Linked DNA regions of Caenorhabditis elegans. The protein of the gene in region 1 purifies or fractionates together with the protein of each later gene. This does not show direct contact. Each region holds a gene or a part of one and is shown in the gene's direction. Other genes may lie near its edges. The genes, in order: idh-2, men-1, F09E5.8 and wago-1.

Region 1 (4,607 bases):
AATAATAACCGTTTGCTGTAATTTAAAATGACAATTGACCGCGTTTTCAGGAAAACTTCATTACCAATCAAAGCGACAAAAAGCACTGTGAACCACATCCAAGGATAATCCAGAACTGATGGAAATCGACGAGTGTCAGCTGCAGTCATCAAGATGTTTCCATGCACGAAGTAGGCAGCAATGACTGAAATTGATTTTTCTAAACAATAAATGCAGAAACGTGATGAAAATTTAAAAAAAAAACTCTATTTGTCTTTCAAAATATTTATTTCAAGTCTTATTCAAACTCGAATATTAACAATACTAAATTATTTTGTGCGCATATGTTTTAATCAGTTCATACATATGTAGAAAGTAAAATAGATCTGACGAATCGATTCAGTTTCAAATTAATAAGAGGGTACTTAAACGCATCTGAGAAATCCTAAAATTTGGAATTATATATTTTGAAAACTCGTTGAAGGAGGAGTAACGGCCTTGGCTATTTTGAACTTATAGGCTCAAATAGTGCTTAAATGAACGAATTAGGTAATGAGACTCATCAAAAATGTTTCAAAAAGCTTTATGGCGGTTCAAAATTTGGAAAAATTATGAATTTTGCTTACTTTGCTGTGCCATTTTGAAAGTTTATCACATTATTTGGTTGATTAAGATTTTTTTCAAGCCGATAGGTTTTTTTTCTTAGGCCGATAGGTATCAGGTATAAAAAATAACCGAAATTTTTGAATGTACCTTAATTACCGGAATAAAATGAGATTACCAATATTTTTACATTAAAAAATTCGTTCATTTGAGCACATTTTGGATCTCTACGTTTAAAGTTGTCCGAACCGTTAGCCCTCCTTCAAGCTATTTCATGAGTTACTAGATCCAATTGTATTCGTATTGAATTTGTAGTCGAAGCTTTCATTACTAAACAATGTTTGTCTTTTGAAATGCATTACTGAAAAAATCGGCGAGCCGTCATTTGAGGTTCAATCATTTGTCCGAAATTGTTATTTTATTTTGTAGGATTCTGTTGTCCTTTTCACTTTTGAAAAAATTCCAACACTCACCACAGGGATAGAAGGCAACAAATGCGTGAAAGAATGCCACCCGTTTTGCAGCATACTCCACAAAGTCGTGCTGTCTTGAATTATATAGAATTGTAAACAAGTCAAAAAGTGTGAGCCCGAGTCCGTCGAGCAGTTCCTCCGGTGGGAATACCAATGCAAAGTGGGCCGCTGTTAAGATAGCTATGTGACTGACCACGTGAAGATATGTTAGCTGAGCTACAAAGATTAATTTTCTTTATAATTAATGAACAATTCATAAATAATTTTAAAAAAACTCACTAGTAAATTCACACGTAATGGCTGTAAAAACTCCGAGTACGAAGATGAAAAACCATGTACCTCGTTTTATTGAGGTCATCCTGAAAAATGAAGCACATTAAAAGAAAGAACAGAACGAAAAAAAAACTAAATATAAGCTTTAAGCATGAAAGAAATCAATAATAATTGAGATTCCACGTAATGTATTTGAAAATCTTCATCTAAAGCGACGTTCTCTTCTCCTTCCATTCTGTCCGCAAAAGTGCGTCGTTTTCTCTGCCTGCGTACGTAGCCGGGAAAAGGGGACCTTGAGTTTTTTGTGGACTATGATGCGAGGATCAAACAGTTTGCACCAGTACACTATCGACCCAGCCTTCTATCCTATCCTCCGCCTGTTTGTTTCATTCTCTGACCCTCTATAATCTCTCCTCCTTCGGAATCGAATCAGCAAGAACGACCTGGCAATGTATCAAGATAACACGACAATTCCTTGTCCTTCTTATCAAAGTGACCGTTTGCGCGTACAAACGATGGCTGCATTTGTTCCATTTTGTTGTTTTTTTTAACGTATGAACTTGTTTCAAAGACATTTTCTTAATTTAATCTATTTTATCAAAACAAATTATTCAGGTAAAAATGTTAAGCCGTCTGACATCACGCAACGTACTTCTTGCTCGCAATGTGGCTACTGCAGCAACTCAGGAACGGCAGAAAATTAAAGTGGATAACCCAGTTGTCGATTTGGATGGAGATGAGATGACGAGAATCATCTGGAAAGAAATTAAGAATAAGGTGAGATACTATACACCAAATCTCTGAGGAGTGCAAATTTTCAGTTAATTCTTCCATACCTGGATCTCGACATCAAATATTATGACCTTGGTCTTGAATACAGAGACGAGACAAATGATCAGGTGAGTTTTAAAACCAATGTAGTATGACGGTTTGATTGATAGTTCGCGTTTTGATAAAACTAAAAGTAAACGATAACTTGCATTTATTGAAACATAAAACTGGTTTCCTTTTCGATTGAATAGGAATTATCCTCCAGTGCAGAAGTATCTGGAAAATTACCCTGTTCATCACTTTTCCCAGTTCCATTAAGATTCTAGGCTCGAATATATAGTTTTCAAATACCGCCCACGTGTTGCCACTACCAGATGCACTAAAATATTGAAGTTCAAGTTTGCAGGTCACCATTGACGCAGCCCATGCAATTCTTGAGCACAGTGTTGGAATCAAATGCGCCACAATCACTCCGGACGAGGCTCGCATCAAAGAGTTTAATCTTAAGAAGATGTGGCTCTCACCAAACGGAACAATCAGAAATATTCTAGGAGGAACTGTATTTCGTGAGCCAATTCTTTGCAAGAACATTCCACGACTAGTGCCTGGATGGACTCAGCCGATCACAATTGGCCGCCACGCTTTTGGAGATCAGTATAAATGCACAGATTTAGTTATTCCAAGTGGATCGACCCTTCAGCTTTTAGTTAACAAGCCAGACGGATCCAAAGATGTGCATAACGTGTATGACTTCAAAAAGTCGGGAGGTGTTGGATTGGCTATGTATAATACTGATGAGAGCATTAAAGGATTTGCTCATTCTTGTTTCCAATACGCATTGATGAAGCAATGGCCACTGTATCTTTCCACAAAGAACACGATTCTGAAGAAATATGATGGACGATTCAAGGATATTTTCCAAGATATATATGAAAAGTAGGGTAATCCAAAAAAATCTCATTCAAATGTTTATGTTTTAAGGAAATATGAAGCGGATTTCAAGAACAATAAAATTTGGTACGAGCATCGATTAATTGATGATCAAGTTGCACAGGCATTGAAGAGCTCTGGAGGATTTGTGTGGGCTTGCAAGAACTACGACGGAGATGTGCAAAGTGACATTGTTGCTCAAGGTTTTTAGTCTTGCTTTTCAAGAATCTTCCGCAAAAATTATTATTTTCAGGATACGGATCGCTCGGTCTCATGTCTTCAGTTTTGATGTGTCCCGACGGAAAGACAATTGAAGCAGAAGCTGCGCATGGAACAGTCACTCGACATTATCGTGAACATCAGAAGGGTAACTCGACGTCTACAAACCCAATTGCGTCTATCTTTGCTTGGACAAGAGGTCTTCATCACAGAGGCGTACTTGACAATAATGAAGCATTGAAGACGTGAGATAACGTTCCTAAAATATTTACTCTCTAATCAAATTTTTGAAAAACTAGTCAAAAATTCAAATGTTTCTAACTTCTCGCCTTCTAAATTTGAACATAATTTAGCCGAATTGTTACAACAGATACATCTCGTTTTTCTTTCTCTTCTTTATAATTTCGAAAACTTTATCCAGCACCTGTGGGCAACTTTCACAACAATTAAACAATTTTTTGAAAACAACAGTCCCAAAATTTTTAGCAAAAAATCCCAGCAAACAAAAAAATTTGATTTTCTTATTTGAAAATTGATGTTTCAGGTTCTCCCTTACTTTGGAAAAGGCATGCATTGACACTGTCGAGGAGGGAAAAATGACGAAAGATCTTTCAATTTGCATTCATGGAACCAAGAAGGGAACCGAGAAAGGAGCTTATCTTATTACTGAAGATTTTCTGTCCGCTATTGACACCAAGATGGCAGAGCTCATGCGCCAGGATTAAAAAACACTCCATTTCGTAAATTATTTCTAGTGTATTTAGTGTTCTGATGACATTTGTACTCCATCTTCTTATTGCCATATTTTTATTTTTCAAGAAAAAATGTAAATGAAACAATTTTTATTCACGTGCAATTGACAAAACAAAGGTTAATTGGGGGAATGAAATTAAATTGAAAATGTTTGAACAAACGAGAAAATCGGAACATGGCAAGGATAAATTGCCAAAATTACTGGGAAGAAAATGTGAAATCGGGAAATGGGAGGAATTCTCTAAAAATATAGAATGAGAGATCCAAAAGTTAAAGAATGGGAACGATGTCAGAGATATGGAAGAAAAGTGGATAGTTTTAAAACAGAACATAGGATAAAAAGATAAAACAGTGCAAAAATTTAGCATGAGTTTCTAAGAAGAACATAAAATTAAAGCTAACTTAATAGGAAAATTGAACTATTGGATACTCTGACAGTGTTTTTCATTTGCAAAAACAATGTTACCACGACCATCAAAAATTATATCTGTTGCTGCATCCTTGGCAACAGCCTCCTGTTTCCGGAACATTGCTAGAACGATTGTGATGTCGCTGGACAACTTTGAGTCAAGGACAACCTGCAAACAATTTTTGTAGTATAAAATT
Region 2 (7,873 bases), on another chromosome or scaffold:
TAGCTAAAATTCAGCTGAATATTTCAGATTTTTCGGGAAAAATTCATTATAAACAGCCGAAATTCAGATTTTCCCCTTTAAAATCACGATTTTTCTAGGGAAAACTCAAGTCTTCTAGTCATTTTTAATGGGTTTTCCTGTTTTTTTAAATAAATTATAAATAAAGAAAAAGCCCGGAAATACTATAAAAAAGTCCTAAAAACCCCCAAAAAAATCAATAAATTCCCCAATTTGTTTTGCAGGTAAAAGTAGTGTGGGACGACAAGCAAGTCTACGACGCGTACTTCCGTGGAAAAGGACAGATGATCGAGTACACGGTCCGACTGGAAGATGGCCGAGAAGTCCGCCATCCACGGAACAGGCTGAAAACGAAGCGAGAACTGAACGCGTATCTCAAAAAATAGCTTTAATAAATAAATAAATATTCGATTTTTTAAAATTTACTATTAAATAGTCCCTGACAAAAAATTCTTGTCAAAATGTAATATATTCTCTCTTTCCCGCCCGTCTACCCTCAAATATGTGATCTCTGCGCCTCTTTTCCCCCCAGTTTTTTTTTGTACGAAAAGTCGAAGAATCTCTAATTATCCCTGTTTTTCTGTTTTTTTTCTGTATTTTTTTGTCATTTAAATATTTTTCGCTATTTTTCCCTATTATTTTGCAGAAACTTTTAAATGTTTTCCCCGAAATTGATCAATTTATCTAATAAACCTTTTTTTTTCCAAATGCCAACACACTAATCGCATTCTTATCAAATAATTCCGTCGAAAAATCAGAAAAATTGGCCAAAGATCACTTTATCCGATTTGTTGACTTCCTGTGAACACGTGTTGAGCTGACAGCTGCGTTGGGAGTGGGAAAATATTGAAAATAACCGGAAAACTCGTTCAAAATCCAGAAATTCTCTTTAAAAAACTGTTTTTTAATGAAAAAACCTTTCAAAATCCAGAAATTCTCTTTTCAAAGCTGTTTTTTAATGAAAAAACCTTTCAAAATCCAGAAATTCTCTTTAAAAAGCTATTTTTAATGAAAAAACAGTTCAAAATCCAGAAATTCTCTTTAAAAAGCTATTTTTTAATGAAAAAACCTTTCAAAATTCGAATTGGCGCCGGTGAATTGACACGGCAACTGCGTACTTTGCGGCCAATGCGCCACATTTGACGACAATTTTTCTTTATTTTTTTCATTGATTTTCGTTATTTTCTTGAGTTTTTGTCGGTTTTCGAGAGGAAAAATAAACTAATTTCTTTATTTTTTGTGGAAAATTCAAAAAATCGCATTAAAATATCTGTTTCTTCCAATTAAAACCCCAAAGATCACGGCTAATTCGATGACAAGGCCACCTTGATCGAAAAATATCGCTATAAACAAGAAAAAAACACGGGAAAACATCATTTTTCTCGCTTTTTCTCCCTCTTCCCTCCTCTCACCGCATACTTGCTCCCCCAAGCACTCATTTCGCCGCCACTCGAAGGAAAAACGATTTTCCATCTTACTTTTTGAAATAAAAATTCATTTTTTCAAGAAAAGAGTTCCGCCCGTGTTTTTGTTTTCTTTTTCTCCCTGCGTCTCTCCGCTGAGTGCAGATCTCTCGCACATAGTTTATCCCGAAAGAATACGTGGATCGATAGACGACGGGCGCCCCCATTTGTGGCTTCTCAGGCAATTGTCTCTCCAGTTTCACCGCGAGTTTTCCCGAATTTTCAGGTTTTCCATAATTTTTTCTGAATAAAAATTGATAAAATGCACTCATTTTTCTTATCAATTGTCACCGTTTTTATTTCACGTGTTTCAAAAAAAAAAGTTTTTATCGAAATTTTACATTTTTCCGTCTCATTTCAGAATCAATTCTCATTTGCTCTTGGGTTTCACAACCGTGCGGGAATCACGAAAAATGCTGAGCCGTCTTTCGCCTGCCAGGTAGGGAGGATTTTGCGTTGAAATTAGCTGAAATTCGAGAAATGTATTAAAAATGACTAAAAATTCAGATTTTCCCGGAAAAATCCATTTAAAACGGCTGAAATTCTGCTTTTCTCGGAAAAAATTTATGAAAAATGGGTGAAATTCAGATGGTCTCGGCAAAAATGCGTAAAATATCGATTTTTCTGCGAGAAATTGCAGAAATTGAAATTTTTACAGGTTTTCGTTGAAAAAGTCTACGAATTTTGACGAGTATTTAAAAAATTTGTAGATTTTTTCGATAAAAACCTATGAAAATTTCAATTTCTGCGATTTTTCTGCGATTTTGCCCAATTTTTCTTGGAAAATCTGAGTTTTAATCATTTTAAATTTATTTTTTCTAAAAAAATCTGAACTTCAGCCATTTTAAATGGTTTTCTCCGGGAAAATCTGCATTTCAGCCATTTTACTAGATTTTTTTCCGAAAAAGTCTGTATTTCTGGCATTTTGAATGAATTTTTGACATTTTTTATGGTTTTATTCCAGAAAAATCTGATTTTTAGCCGCAGTTGGTGGATTTTTCCGAAAAAATCTGAATTTCAGCCAATTTTTAATGGATTTTTTCCGGGAAAATCTAAAATTTCAACATTTTTAAAATGAATTTTCCGCCATTTTTTATGCATTTTTTCCTGGAAAATCTGATTTTAAGCCATTTGTAATCAATTTTTTTTCGGAAAAATCTGAGTTTTAGTCATTATAAATAGTTTTTTTTCTGGAAAAACAGATTTTTCGCTATTTTTAATGTATTTTTCCGGGAAAAAGTCTCAATTTGAGCCGTTTGAATGAGTTTTTCCAGGAGAAATCTGAATTTTCGCTATTTTCAATGGATTTTTTTTTGGAAAAAACTGAATTACAGCCGTTTTTAAGGGATTTTTTCCGAGAAAATCCGATTTTTAGCCATTTTTCATGAATTTTTTTCGGAGAAAATCTGAATTTCAGCCGTTTTTAATTGATTTTTCTGGGAAAGCTTGATTTTTAGCCATTTTTTATATTTAAAAAATTTGAGTTTCAGCCATTTCAAATACATTTTTTCCGTGAAAATCTACTGTTTTAGTCATTAAAAAAAATTTTTTCCAAAAAATCCGATTTTCAGCCTTTTAAATGGATTTTTCCGGGAAAATCTGAATATTTAGTCATTTTTTATGGATTTTTTTCCGGAAAATTTGAAATTTAGCCGTTTTAATGGCATTTTCCCAGAAAAATCTGAGTTTCAGCCATTTCGAATACATTTTTCCGTGAAAATCTACTTTTTAGCCATTTTAAATAGTTTTTTTTCTGGAAAATCTGAATTTTAACGATTTTAAATAAATTTTTTCCATGAAAATCTGAATTTTTAGCCATTATTTATGGATTTTTTTTTCCGAAAAATTTGAATTTCGGTCATTTTAAATGGGTTTCTCCGGGAAAATCTGAATTTTTGCCATTTTTTTCAATGAAAAACCAAAAATCCCCAAATTTCCAGCATCCGCCGTCTCTCCACATCAACACGATGCCTGAGCGACAAAAACGAGCCGGATCTCTCCGATCCCAAAACTCTGGCCCTTCACAAGCTCTACCGCCCGGAACGCACCACACCCCAGAAGCGAGGAATCGACCTGCTCAAGTCGCCCGGGCTCAATAAGGGAATGGCTTTTTCCCTCCACGAACGTCAATATCTCGGAGTTCACGGGCTTCTGCCACCCGCATTTATGACCGAAGAGCAACAAGCCTACCGTATCATCACAAAACTCCGCCAGCAACCTGACAACCTTGCCAAGTACATTCAATTGGACTCGTTGCAGGATCGTAACGAGAAGCTCTACTACCGAGTGCTCTGCGATAATGTGAAGGAGCTCATGCCAATTGTGTACACTCCTACCGTAGGACAAGCCTGTCAGCATTTCGGATTCATCTACCGTAACCCAAAGGGTCTCTACATTACTATTAATGATAATAGTATTAGTAAAATCCATCAGATTCTTGCAAATTGGCCGACAGAGAACGTCCGAGCAATTGTGATCACTGACGGAGAGCGGATCCTCGGCCTCGGCGACCTGGGAACCTATGGAATCGGAATTCCCGTTGGAAAACTTGCACTCTACGTTGCGCTCGCAGGGATTCGCCCGGAATGGTGTCTCCCGGTGATTCTCGACGTGGGAACTGATAACAGCGAGCTGCTCAACGATCCATTCTACACGGGGCTCCGTAGAAAGCGTGTTAGAGGTCCCGAATACGATACGCTCGTCGATAATTTTATGAAGGCGGCCACGAAGCGGTTCGGACGGGATACGCTGATTCAATTTGAAGATTTTGGAAATCAGAATGCGTATCGGTTGTTGGATCGGTATAAGGGAGAATATTGCATGTTTAATGATGATATTCAAGGTAGAATTTGGCAGGGGGGAAATTGAGGAAAAAAAGCGAAAAAATCGGAGAAAAAGGCTTTAAAATGCACATTTGAGAAAAAAAATTGCATTTTGGCCGAAATTTTTCAAAAAAAATCTGAATTTTCACTGTTTTCAAATATGAAATTCAGAATCAGCATACTTTTATTGCCCTGTGCGCCAATTTTCAGCTCATTTAGACGAAGAAATCTCGTAGAATCTGGTGTCTGGTACGCAAACACCGAAGCGCTGCGTACTTTCGGGGCTACAGTAACCCGGATATTTTCAAAATTGAGCTAGTAACTCGAAAAAAAAAGTACAGCCCGGGGTGAAGTTTCACGGGAAACTCGAATTTTGGAGTTTCAAAAAAATAGTGAAGCAAATTTGAGGGGATATATTCCTTTATAACTTTATATTTTAACTGCAAAATTCCGCCGTAAAAGTTTTCCGTAAAATTTCTTTACCCCTAGCCATGTAATTATTTTGGAGTCTCTAGCTCAATTTTGAAAATTTCCGGGTTACTGTAGCCTCAGAAGTACGCAGAGCTTCGGTGTTTGCGTACTTGGCACCGGATTCTACGATATTTCGTTTAAATGAGCTGAAAATTGTTAATTAAAGTATGCTGATTCTGAATTTCGGGTTGAAAATGTCGGAAAATTTCGGGAAATTTCGGATTTTTCTGGAAATTTCAATTTTTTAAAGAGAAATTTTGCTTCTTTTTTTTTTTGGGAAATTTTAATTTTTTGAAAATTTCGATTTTTTTGACCTTGAACTTGGAAATAAAAGTGAAAAATTGATTCTAAAAATAATAGTTTCCCAGGAAATTTGGATTTTTTCAATATAAAATAGGAAACAAAAAAAAAAGGTCTTTAAAAAATAGTTTTAAAAATTAAAAATTAAAAGTTCTTTTGTTTTCAGATTTCAGATTTGAAATTTTTGATTAAAAAAAAAAATTAAAAAATAGTTAGAAATAAATTTTGTAAAAAAAATTTTTTTGCAAATTTCCAGGTACCGCCGCTGTCGTCGTCGCCGGCCTGCTCGCCTCAACTCGTATCACCAAGAAGAAGCTCTCCCAGGAACGGATCGTCTTCCTCGGAGCCGGTGGAGCCGCCACCGGAGTCGCCGAAATGTGTGTCCGACAGATGATGGACGAGGGATTGTCGGAGGAAGAAGCTTGCGGTCGGATTTATATGGTTGATATTGAAGGACTCATCACGACGTCTCGTAGTAAATCTCTTGGCGAGAGACATGTGAAATTCGCTAAAGATCTTCCGGATACCAAGAATCTGCTGGAAGTTGTGAAGACTGTCAAGCCTGGAGCACTCATCGGAGCATCTACGGTGGCTGGAGCATTTACGGAGGATATTATTAAGGAAATGGCTCGGCTGAACCCGAGGCCAATCATTTTTGCACTGTCCAACCCTACAAGTAAAGCAGAATGCACTGCGGAGACGGCTTATCGCTGCACAAATGTACGGGATATGTAAATTTAGAGAAAAAACTGGAAAAATATGGAGAAAATCTGAATTTTTCAGATTTTTTGAGCTGAATTTACTGCATTTTTCATGGAAAAGTGAATTTTTAAATTCAAAAATTCGCCGTTTTTCAGATTTTTCCAATGAAAAGTTAGTTAAAAATTATTATTTTCCAGCTTTTTCATGGAAAAAAAATCAAAAATTTTTAAATCCAAATGTATAATTTTCCGGACTTTTTGTGTTAAAAATTAACCGTTTTTTTTTCAGATTTTCCATGAAAAAATGTTTTTTTTTTCAAATAAAAAACTTAAAAAATCTCAATTTTTACAATTTAGAGCCATTTTTCAATGAAAAACCTGAAAAATAGTAATTTTAAAGTCGCTTTTCAAAGAGAAATCTGGAAATCTGAAAATTTAAATTTTAAAATCTAAAATATATATCAATTTTTAGAATTTAGAGCGGTTTTAAATGAAAAATCTGGGAAAAAAGTAATTTTTAAATAGTAATAAAAATAATAACGAAAATTGGAAAAAAAAACTGGAAAAATATGGAGAAAATCTGCACTTTTTTAGTTGAGAAATGTAGAATTTGCCAATTTTCGCTTGATTTTTCATGGAAAAATTATTTTGAAATTCAAAAATTGACCGTTTTTTTTCAGATTTACCTTTTAAAAAGTGACTTTATAAATCAAAAATTAACCTTTTTTAATTGAAAATTAATATTTTCCACGGCAAAGAGAATATTTTAAATTTATTTTTCTTTAAAAAATCTGGAAAATGCCAATTTTAATTAAAAAAAAATCATTTTAAAATAATGTTTTAGTTTTTAATTTATTGAAGTCAATTTTATAATTTAAAGTTGCGTCGTTTTTTCAGATTTTTTACGGAAAAATGATTTTAAATTGAATTAAATTTTGTTTTTTAACAGAAAAATCTTTAAAAAGGTACAATTTCTTCCAATTGTAAGTTAATTTTTTCGAAGAAAATTGTGGAAAATGTCAATTTTAAAATTTATTCTTTTTAGATTTTTAGTTGAAAAAATGATTTTAGAATTTAATAAAAATTTATATTTTTCAGCTCTTTCGTGGAAAAATGATTTTAAATGGAATTAAAATTAATTTTCTATGGAAAAATTTGGAAAAATGTCAATTTTTAATCTTAAAAATCATTTTTCAATGAAAAATCTGAAAAATCAGTTATTTTTCCCTCCAAAAATACCCAATTTTTGCAGGGAGCCGTCCTCTTCGCCTCCGGATCCCCGTTCGAAAATGTCGAAATGAATGGAAAACTCTATAAGCCAGGACAGGGAAACAACGCCTACATCTTCCCGGGTGTTGCTCTCGGAGCCGTCCTCTTCCGTACCAAAAACATTCCGGACAAGCTGTTCCTTCTGGCCGCCCGTATGGTCGCCGAAGCCGTATCGGAGAAGTCGTTGAACACGTATTCACGTGTATATCCACGTCTGAAGGATATTCGAGAACTTTCGGTGAAAATTGCCGTAGAAGTTGGCGAGTATTGTTATCGACACGATTTGGCCACTTTGCACCCGAAACCCGATGATATGGTGCGGTTGTTTTTGAGTGGAAATTTGAAAAAAAAAAACGTCGGAAAATTTCGATTTTCCTGCAATTTTTAGACATTTTTTGCTGAAAAAAACATGAAAAACTGTTGAAAAATACCAAAAAAAAAAACTTTTCCCCGAAAAAAAGTGATTTTCCTCACTTTTTAATGCAAAAAATGGCCATGTGTCGATTTACGCGAATCGTGTACTCCTCGGAGAGAAAAGCAATTTTTTGAGTGGAAATTTGGAAAAAATCGGGAAAATTTCGATTTTCCTAGCATTTCAAGCTGAAAAAACATGAAAAATGGATGAAAAACATTTTTAAAAATGACAAAAAAAGACTTTTCCCCACCCGAAAAAATTGATTTTCCTCACTTTTTAATGCAAAAAATGGCCGTGTACCGATTTACGCGAGTCGTGTACTCCTCGAGGAAAAGAATAATTTTTCATGGAAAAAAGCATTTTTAGCTGAAAAACATGAAAAAATTTTGAAAAATACCTTCAAAAATGATTTTT
Region 3 (3,477 bases), on another chromosome or scaffold:
TATTATTTACGTTGCTCTTGAGAAGTTCAACAACTTCATATCTTTTTGAAAGTGTAACAGCAAGCTCATAAAGGCGTTCTTTTGATGGTGAAGAAGACATTGATGAAACTGCGATTTTTCTCATAATTAATTGCACCTAAAATATAAATTTAGTTTTGAAAAACGTAAATTTCAGTATACTGCAATTTCGCTTCTCCTCGATTCGTGATCACAATCACGACTGACTTTCACATGGCCTGTCTCAGTCTTGATACGCACGGATCCGGGGCACTTTCTCGAGTTTTCCAGTGTAACGTTACATCTGAAATAAATTAATGAAATGTGTGACAATTTTTTCCTAGCGATAATTCACCTAGCCACAATGTCCCCATTTTTCAGTGTTTCTCTCGGACGATAGCTTTGATTGTTGAAAATGACCAATGGAGCTCCTCGTTTCGTCGAAATACTGAAATTGCATAGTTTCTATGTTTAATTGTTTTAGAAGTTAGAAGGCATACCAAAAATCTGAACTATTCTCGCTGATATATTCCGGTGCCATTTCAAGCACCCCTCTTGGGCTATTGGCAATCGGTCTATAGTGCATCAGAGAACGTAACACGTGTGACTTGCTGGAATTTTATATTTTGATAGAGTTATTGATTAATAACAACCTATTTGTCAAAAACCAATCCGGATGGTATGGAGTCTCTTCGTCTTCAAACGGAGATTGATATGAATTGTGACCTAAAAATACAACGTCTGTTATTTCTATTTAATTATTAGTTAAGACCTACACAGAAGATTGAATTCACTTGTTTCCTGTAGATCGTGATCCATTTCTTCGGGAAATACAGCTGGATAAAAATCAAAAAATCTTTCAGTATTTGCCATGGAATCTGTTGTATCCAAGCTTGTTTCCTGAGTAGAATTGGCTATTGAATCGCATTCCGGGATATCGTCAGTGGATCTCGGCTCATCGAGCTCTCGAGAATTTGAAGGAAACTGCATATACGAATCAGACCGACGTGGTGATGCAGGTGGAGTAACCAGATCGATTGTTGCAGGAGTCGATTCACATACATTTGTAGTAGACGCTTTCGGATTTCTTTTCTTCTTTAGATCCCTGTCGAACGCTGAAAAATACTTTTCACTCTTCAATTAATCTTTAGACATCAATACTTGCCTCTAAAAAAGCGTTTGGCTCCGCTTGGATCACTCTCAGCATCAAGTTCTTCTTTTTTCCGGGAAGGAAACGCTCATTTTCGATTAATATTAATTTTGATCGATTCGAAATCGAATGAAACCCGTTTTTGTCATCGAAAATTCTGAAAATATCCGTATTTAGCTCGAATAAAACTAATTAATTTCCATTAAAAATCCGTTTTTAATTGAATTCCGTTCGAAATTTCCTGTTGGAAAAATAAATAAATAAATACGAAGAAGCGTGCGGCGCATTGCAAAAAGCCGTGCGGCGCATTGCGAAGGACTGTGCGGCGGGCTTGCGAAAAGGCGCGCCGCACATTGCCCTACTGAAAGCGTTCCTTACGAAAAAATCCCCTTACGAAAACGTACCCCCTCTAGAAATTTCTTATTTTGTTGTTTCCTTCCTTTTCCGTGTTTAGAACTAAATAATATAGTTTTCAGGTAGAAAATGTCTATAGAAATTGTACAAAAAAGTCTATTCAACATTATTGAAGCCGTTGCCGACGCCGTTACTGCTTCGCAAGCCACAAAAAGGTTGGTAAACCGGAAATTATTGCGAAACTAAATTAATAATGAATTTTTCAGATGTCGACTTGTTGCTGTCAGTAAAACAAAGTCTGCTGATTTAATAGAGGCATGTTATTCTCAAAATCAGCGTCATTTTGGAGAGAATTACGTCCAAGAAGTGAGAGAAAAATCATCAACAAAACTTTTGAAAATGATTCCTTATTGTTCAGCTTGAAGAAAAATCTGATGTTTTGGCGTCAAAATGTTTAGATATTCGTTGGCATTTTATCGGACAAGTGCAATCAAATAAAGTTAGTTCTGATGGAAAATTTACCTTATTTATTAATCATTTAAAAATTTTTAGATTGGAAAAATTTGCAATTCTCCTGGACTTTGGTGTGTTGAAACAGTGGAGACTGAGAAACATGCTCGGATTTTCGACAAGGTGTGTTTAGTGACTATTAATCTATTTTAATTAAATATCTTGAAGGAATGGTCAAAACACGGAGCCAATTTGTCACCACTACGAGTTCTCGTGCAAGTAAATACATCCGGAGAAGATAATAAAGGAGGAATCGAGATTGGAGAAGCACCGAAACTTGCGGAATTCATTCGAAAAGAATGCCAAAACTTGAAATTTGATGGATTCATGACTATCGGATCGTTTGACAACAGGTATATATTTATTTATTGTTACGACTATCCTACTAAAAAGTTGTTCAGTGGCAGGTGAAATGGAAATAGGTGTAAGAAATGATGAAAATGAACGTTTTATATTAATTATTACTTGTAAATAATGATCAAGCTAACAAGCGATAAATTAAATATTTACCATAAAATAAAAGTTCAATTTTACAGCCACGCAAGCGGAGAAAATCCGGATTTCGAGAAGCTCTTCAAAGTCCGACAAACATGGGCAGAACAAACAGGTGAACAGATTTTCTAGAAAAATCAAAGCGAGAACCGTCAGTGGTTGACGTCAAAAAATAAAACTTATGCTTCAAGAAATGTTTTGAAATGTTGGATCCACAAAGTTTCTAAACAAAAACTTGAAAAGTATTGATTTCAGGTGAATCTGCGGATTCAGTAGAACTCTCAATGGGAATGTCCGATGATTTCCTTCAAGCAATTCATCAAGGTGCAACAAGTGTTCGAGTGGGAAGCAAGCTGTTCGGAGCCAGAGAATACAAAAATAAATAGATTTACATTCCATTTTTTAGTTTGTTATTTTTTTAGTATTTAAAGAAAATTCACTATTCAAATTCACTTTTTTTTTAATTACCAGATTCCAATTCAGTTGCTGTTACTGTTTAAATACCTTTCTTTTGAATTGAACTTTTCAGTTCCTTCAGCATTTTTTTCAGTCACAGAATAATGGATAATTTCCGATCGGAAATTCTCAAGGAAACTCGAGAATTAATGCTCAATGAGCAGCAACATGTAGGTTAATTCTTTACTTTTAAGCAAATTAAGCGTGATTCATTCAGGAGGAAAGCATGAAATCTTGGAACGGACCTGAAACGAAAGGATTTGAATTAAAATTCGGAGGCACCAAGCGAGGAGTTCCACAGAACTCTGGAGTAGTTGGTCAGGTTTTCATCAGTGAGGATGGAGGATTTGAAGCAATCATAACTGGATATGTCATAAAAAGTAAGTTTTGAAAATAAAATTGTCAGTTATAATTCGATTTTTCAGACAGTCTCCGTTCCATCGCAGCTTCTTTCACAGTAACTCCTTCGTCTTCTCTGAAATCTGATTTGTCGGAAGGTCTTCATCCACTCGTGCTTG
Region 4 (5,871 bases), on another chromosome or scaffold:
GGCTACATTCTATAATCTGCACTCAACAACAACAACAAAAAATCAATTTCCACGTAGGTCAAAACAATAATAGGGCAACGGGGGAAAATGAAATTAGCAGTTACACCACTTACTATTAGATACGCATTGTATGTAACGCAAAAACAAGAATGACAGGGTGGGATACAAATAAAAAATCATGGTATGCTTCTCACAAACTAGAAGTTGGAATTGAAAATACTACAATTTGATTGAATTATTAGTGCTGAAGCATTGACACGACGGTCGATCAGGAAGCCGGATTCCTTGTATTTGATGCTATCGGTAATCTGCTTCATACGAGCTGCCTCTGGTCCAGAAACTTCGGGAATTGCATCCGCAATGCTGCAAAAATATTTTAATATCAACTGTTGTCATTTTCTTAAACTCACATGGCTTCATTCCACAAATTACGACCACTCTTCGCGTACTCATTTGCAACATACATTGGTGTTGGAAAAAAAAGAAGTTGGAAGTCTGACAATTTGGTGAAGGTGGCACAATGGAAGTGAAATACACGTTCGAGCAATTCGTCATTTTCCGAGATTAAAAAAAAAAGGATTTGAAGAGGTAGATTTTCCTTGAATAAAAAAATCGTTATTGTCGATAACAGGAGAACTGACAAGTTTCAGTTCAAGGGAATTGATTCTAAAATAGAAAAAAAATGTTAAATTTAATCTCGTGCAGAAACTACTTACAAATTTCGAAGCTTCTTGTTCTCGCGTTCAGTATCTTGAAGCTTCTTTCGATTATTTTCCTCAAAATTGGCTAGCTTCGACAGTTGGCATGTGATTTCCTGTGTCCTTTTCTCTGTTTTCGCCGTTTGATCTTTTAGCATCACCGACTGAAATAAAACTTTTTCTTCTGCATGAAACAAGTGCAAAAAATTACCTTTTATTTTTCGTTTTCCTAATAAATTGAATTCTGAATACTTTAAAAACCAATAATTCTGGTGAGACGTTTGAGAATATCTGTACTTTTTACAGTCACGTCGCGAATCGGGATGTACAGCGCTGAACATTTTCCGCACATTTTCGGCAGATTTCCATCTATTTTAAGAGTTTTCGTAGGGACCTTACACAAATAACAAAATCCAGCAGTCTGCGTTGTTCGACAAGATGTGAGAGCAGGTGGTGATGTAAAATTGCCTTCTTGCTGGCGGGAATCCACATAGGTTGCAAACGATTAACTTCATTGCGATCTAAGCTACAAGCCTGAATTAGATGAGTATCATTCAAAATAAAATTAACAACTAAGTCACTTTTTAAAACATGGAAAGCACACAATACTTGTAAAAAGGAGAAAAATAAGGCTGTACAGCAAAAATAAATTCAAGGAGCGTTCGTTTTAACACTGAGTGGGTCTCGCAGCGATCTCCATTCTTATGTACTGTATGCGTTGTCATTTAAATTTTTTAGGACGAAGAAATTGTTTTTTGTATTCTTTTCCGGTTTGTGACAGTTTTCAATAATTTTTGTTAATTTTCAAGATTATTTTTATATTTTAATAATAATCTAGTTACAAAATCTTAAGAAACTTGCTCGTTGAATCTTAAAAATGTAAAAGTGATCTACATTTGATCTAGCCGCCAATTATCGGATTCTGTATTCTTGCGTCATTAATAATGATGATTTTGTACAAATCTAGTCGTTATTTGTTTTTATGCCGCCTCTGAAACACCGAAAAATCTCGAATCATTATTCTTTTTCGTCGGCAATACGAAAATTCCGTAGTTTGCCCTTTCTTCATAACGTACCATTTTCGTTCTAGATTGATCTCTTGAAGAAAACTGATTTATTTGTTTAAACTATTGTTAAATATCTCACAAATTCATAATTTTCTATAGATGTTCTCCAATCTCGCTTATTCGGTGCAGAATATTATTTATATAAGCTTTTTTCAGAACTAATATTGCAATAGTAATAAGATGTCTCCTCATCCACCACAACCGCATCCACCGATGCCTCCAATGCCACCAGTCACTGCTCCACCAGGAGCTATGACTCCAATGCCTCCAGTTCCAGCCGATGCTCAAAAGCTTCACCAAAGCACTGGCAACGACGCATGCATCAAGCGTTTACAACAGTTAAACGTATGTTTATCAGCATTCAAAGATCTTTCTAATGCCATATTTGCAGGTTGAGGATGGTGCGAAAATGTACATGAAGCCAACCGAACCTGGAAAAATGGGCAGACCAGTGGACATCCAAACCAATGTCTTCGGAATTGAAGTCACAAAGGAAACCACAGTTCATCGTTTTATGGTTCACGCAAAGGCCGATTTGACTTCAACAAAGGAAGTGACTTTCACTAAAAAAGGAAAGGAGGACTTCGTCGTTCAGGATCGTCGCGATAAGTGTTGCAACATCTTTTTCCTTGCGGTTGAGAAGAACCCGGAATTCTTCAAAATGAAGGATGGGAATCAGATTGTATATGACGGTCAATCAACTCTCTACACGACGGTCAACTTGTTCTCAGAACTGGATGCCAACGGTACGAAGTCCAAAGTCTTCCAAATCAACGGAGCTGATACCGGCAATGACGACCTTAAGACCCTGCCTTGCATTTCTCTCGAGATTTATGCCCCAAGGGACAACTCTATCACGCTCTCTTCTGAAAATCTGGGCAAGCGTACTGCGGATCAAAACATTGAAGTAAACAATCGAGAATACACTCAATTCTTGGAACTTGCTCTGAATCAACATTGCGTGAGAGAAACGTAAGTGAATTTCGAAAATTATTAAAAGCATCGCTTCATTTTAGAAATCGTTTCGGATGCTTCGAGCACGGAAAAGTATATTTCCTCAACGCCACCGAAGAAGGATTCGATCAACGAGACTGTGTCGACGTAGGAGACGGAAAACAACTTTATCCTGGCCTCAAGAAGACGATTCAATTCATCGAGGGTCCTTATGGTCGCGGACAGAACAATCCATCTCTCGTGATTGATGGTATGAAAGCTGCTTTCCACAAAGAGCAAACTGTGATCCAAAAACTGTTCGACATCACGGGACAAGATCCTTCAAATGGACTCAATAATATGACCCGTGAGAAGGCTGCGGCAGTGATTAAAGGACTTGATTGCTATTCGACTTATACCAACAGAAAGCGCCATCTAAGAATCGAAGGTATCTTTCACGAAAGTGCCACAAAGACCAGATTTGAGTTGCCCGATGGAAAAACTTGTTCAATCGCCGAGTACTATGCGGACAAATACAAGATCAGTCTACAGTATCCGAACGCCAATTTGGTGGTTTGTAAGGATCGAGGCAACAACAATTACTTCCCGGCTGAACTGATGACTGTGTCCAGAAATCAACGTGTCACCATTCCTCAGCAAACGGGAAATCAATCTCAAAAGACAACGAAGGAGTGCGCGGTTCTTCCGGATGTCCGTCAGCGAATGATCATCACTGGTAAAAATGCTGTCAACATTACACTCGAAAACGAGTTGCTCGTCGCTCTTGGAATCAAGGTTTACTCGGAGCCTCTGATGGTTAGTTTGTGTAAATTGTAAAAAAATATATTTGTTTTCTTTTTCCAGGTCCAAGCACGTGAGCTTGATGGAAAAGAACTTGTATACCAGAGATCGGTAATGTCGGATATGGGAAAATGGCGTGCGCCTCCAGGATGGTTTGTGAAGCCTGCGACTGTTCCTGATTTGTGGGCTGCTTACGCTGTTGGAAATCCAGGTTGCAGATTCTCCATTGGAGATGTCAAGTAAGACAAATAGAAATTTACATGAATCAATTCAATTCTTAAGCCAACTCGTCGGAATGTTCATTGATTCTTGCAAGAAGAAAGGCATGGTGATCAAGCCACCATGTGAAACAGGACTTTACAGTACGGAAAAAATTATGACTCAGCTGGAAAAAGTGGCTGCGAGTAAGTGCAAGTATGTCTTGATGATCACTGATGACGCAATCGTTCACCTCCACAGTAAGTTTTCCTTAAGTTTTCATGGTTCATTGAAAATTTCAGAGCAGTACAAAGCCTTGGAACAGAGAACAATGATGATCGTCCAGGATATGAAAATTTCCAAAGCCAATGCCGTTGTCAAAGATGGGAAGAGATTGACGTTGGAGAACATCATCAACAAAACTAACGTGAAGTTAGGTGGTCTTAACTACACTGTTTCGGATGCAAAGAAGAGCATGACCGACGAACAATTGATCATCGGAGTTGGCGTTTCCGCACCACCGGCTGGAACGAAGTACATGATGGATAACAAGGGACATCTTAATCCACAAATCATTGGCTTCGCTTCAAATGCTGTTGCAAATCACGAGTTTGTCGGCGATTTCGTTTTGGCTCCCTCCGGACAGGACGTAAATAATTAATGTGTTCGAGTTAACAACATGGTAATTTTTACAGACAATGGCATCAATTGAAGACGTGTTGCAAAATTCAATCGATTTGTTCGAAAAGAACCGCAAAGCGTTGCCAAAAAGAATCATCATTTATAGAAGTGGTGCATCGGAGGGTTCTCACGCTTCTATTCTGGCTTATGAAATCCCATTAGCCCGAGCTATTATCCATGGTTACTCGAAAGAAATCAAATTGATTTTCATCGTCGTCACTAAGGAGCACAGTTACCGATTCTTCCGTGATCAGGTAAATTTGTTTTATTATTCTCTTTACGCTAACTTTTCAGCTTCGTTCGGGCGGCAAAGCCACTGAAATGAATATTCCTCCGGGCATTGTCTTGGATAACGCTGTCACGAATCCGGCATGTAAGCAGTTCTTCCTGAACGGTCACACGACTCTTCAAGGAACAGCAAAGACACCATTGTACACTGTTCTTGCTGACGACTGCAAAGCTCCAATGGACCGCCTGGAGGAGCTGACCTTCACTTTGTGTCATCATCACCAAATTGTTTCCCTGAGCACGTCGATTCCCACTCCACTTTATGTGGCAAATGAGTATGCAAAGCGTGGAAGAGATCTCTGGGGTGAACTAACGTAGGTTTTTTTTGTTTAAAACAAAAATTTATTTATATTTTGCAGGACTAAAGGACCAATTGAAGCAAAGGAGTCGCAAGGCGAGCGCCTCAAGGAACTTACAAAGGAAATCGGCTACAAACAAACCGATCTCAATCAGAAGCGCGTCAATGCATAGATTTGGAGCTATGCCACATACACTTGATGTTTTACCTAGGATAATAATTTTACGGTCACCTAGGATAATAATTTTACGGTTTTTCCGCTAGTTTTATTGTAATTTTTTAGTCAAATGTTTTATATTTTTGTAATGTGGTTCTGTGTGACCCGTAGTAATTAAACTCGGTATGATAAAAGTTTTAGGCTGATAATATTTTTCAAAGATTTGCTTTGTGCGTAAAAGTTCGAGGCGATGTTTTTTGAGGATCTTCAAGTGAAAACGAAGATTGTCTGATAATGAGGGGGAATTTTGTTCGATTTTTTTTTGAAATTGGAACATTAAACATTTCTAGAGCTGCTTCCAAGTCAATTGACTAGTCGACTAAATATTACTTTTTGGTTGTAATCTCAATATTGAACAAACAATTTATTCACGTTTTTAACTCAAAATGGTAATTCGAAAGTTAATCAGAACAAGAAAAGTAATAAATAAAAAAGCAATTTCATTCAAGCCTTTCAACTATCCTTGGTTGAATTTTCTGTTCCCTTTTCTCGTGAGTTGAAAAAACGAATGGTGAATTCGCAAGAAGGGGAATAAATTTCCCAGATCCGGGAACTGTTTGAAGTTTTCCGTGAGCCCATACAATTCGCCCTCTGTAATAGATTGTGGTTAATGTTGTGCCATTGAGAGAATATGTCTGAATACAAGAATCAAACATTTTTAGATTATTTTTTTTTTTTTGCATTGGCCGC

What was found.
Region 2: the proteins of idh-2 (region 1) and men-1 fractionate together in Caenorhabditis elegans (co-fractionation; one large-scale study listed by BioGRID). This does not show direct contact.
Region 3: the proteins of idh-2 (region 1) and F09E5.8 fractionate together in Caenorhabditis elegans (co-fractionation; one large-scale study listed by BioGRID). This does not show direct contact.
Region 4: the proteins of idh-2 (region 1) and wago-1 fractionate together in Caenorhabditis elegans (co-fractionation; one large-scale study listed by BioGRID). This does not show direct contact.

The regions. Positions count from the first base shown.
Region 1 is NC_003284.9:11,214,057-11,218,663, forward strand, and holds idh-2 (Isocitrate dehydrogenase [NADP]), read left to right. Parts: upstream 1-1,943; 5' UTR 1,944-1,949; coding exon 1,950-2,105; intron 2,106-2,149; coding exon 2,150-2,227; intron 2,228-2,289; exon of another isoform or gene 2,290-2,423; intron 2,424-2,505; coding exon 2,506-3,035; intron 3,036-3,080; coding exon 3,081-3,232; intron 3,233-3,282; coding exon 3,283-3,493; intron 3,494-3,792; coding exon 3,793-3,973; 3' UTR 3,974-4,094; downstream 4,095-4,607. Other genes in the region: C34F6.7 (uncharacterized protein), read right to left, coding at 1-15, 65-184, 1,056-1,271, 1,335-1,413; C34F6.9 (USP domain-containing protein), read right to left, coding at 4,421-4,579.
Region 2 is NC_003280.10:14,227,825-14,235,697, reverse strand, and holds the start of men-1 (Malic enzyme), read left to right. Parts: upstream 1-1,842; 5' UTR 1,843-1,894; coding exon 1,895-1,920; intron 1,921-3,421; coding exon 3,422-4,323; intron 4,324-5,330; coding exon 5,331-5,794; intron 5,795-7,027; coding exon 7,028-7,360; intron 7,361-7,873. Other genes in the region: jmjd-2 (Lysine-specific demethylase 4), read left to right, coding at 243-404.
Region 3 is NC_003280.10:5,349,046-5,352,522, forward strand, and holds F09E5.8 (Pyridoxal phosphate homeostasis protein), read left to right. Parts: upstream 1-1,623; 5' UTR 1,624-1,630; coding exon 1,631-1,716; intron 1,717-1,767; coding exon 1,768-1,867; intron 1,868-1,919; coding exon 1,920-2,000; intron 2,001-2,053; coding exon 2,054-2,134; intron 2,135-2,179; coding exon 2,180-2,364; intron 2,365-2,547; coding exon 2,548-2,618; intron 2,619-2,758; coding exon 2,759-2,889; 3' UTR 2,890-2,948; downstream 2,949-3,477. Other genes in the region: F09E5.7 (PI31_Prot_N domain-containing protein), read left to right, coding at 3,064-3,129, 3,177-3,339, 3,385-3,477. UniProt on the Caenorhabditis elegans protein: Pyridoxal 5'-phosphate (PLP)-binding protein, which may be involved in intracellular homeostatic regulation of pyridoxal 5'-phosphate (PLP), the active form of vitamin B6.
Region 4 is NC_003279.8:7,233,463-7,239,333, forward strand, and holds wago-1 (Argonaute protein wago-1), read left to right. Parts: upstream 1-1,921; 5' UTR 1,922-1,945; coding exon 1,946-2,110; intron 2,111-2,156; coding exon 2,157-2,737; intron 2,738-2,781; coding exon 2,782-3,514; intron 3,515-3,562; coding exon 3,563-3,738; intron 3,739-3,781; coding exon 3,782-3,957; intron 3,958-3,999; coding exon 4,000-4,346; intron 4,347-4,392; coding exon 4,393-4,632; intron 4,633-4,672; coding exon 4,673-4,980; intron 4,981-5,025; coding exon 5,026-5,137; 3' UTR 5,138-5,330; downstream 5,331-5,871. Other genes in the region: R06C7.2 (BEN domain-containing protein), read right to left, coding at 198-363, 411-598, 642-666, 717-1,039; dhp-1 (Dihydropyrimidinase 1), read right to left, coding at 5,622-5,772. UniProt on the Caenorhabditis elegans protein: Argonaute protein which is involved in the endogenous small interfering RNA (endo-siRNA) pathway. Interacts with secondary 22G-RNAs, which are RNA-dependent RNA polymerase-derived endo-siRNAs, typically 22 nucleotides in length with a 5'guanosine residue.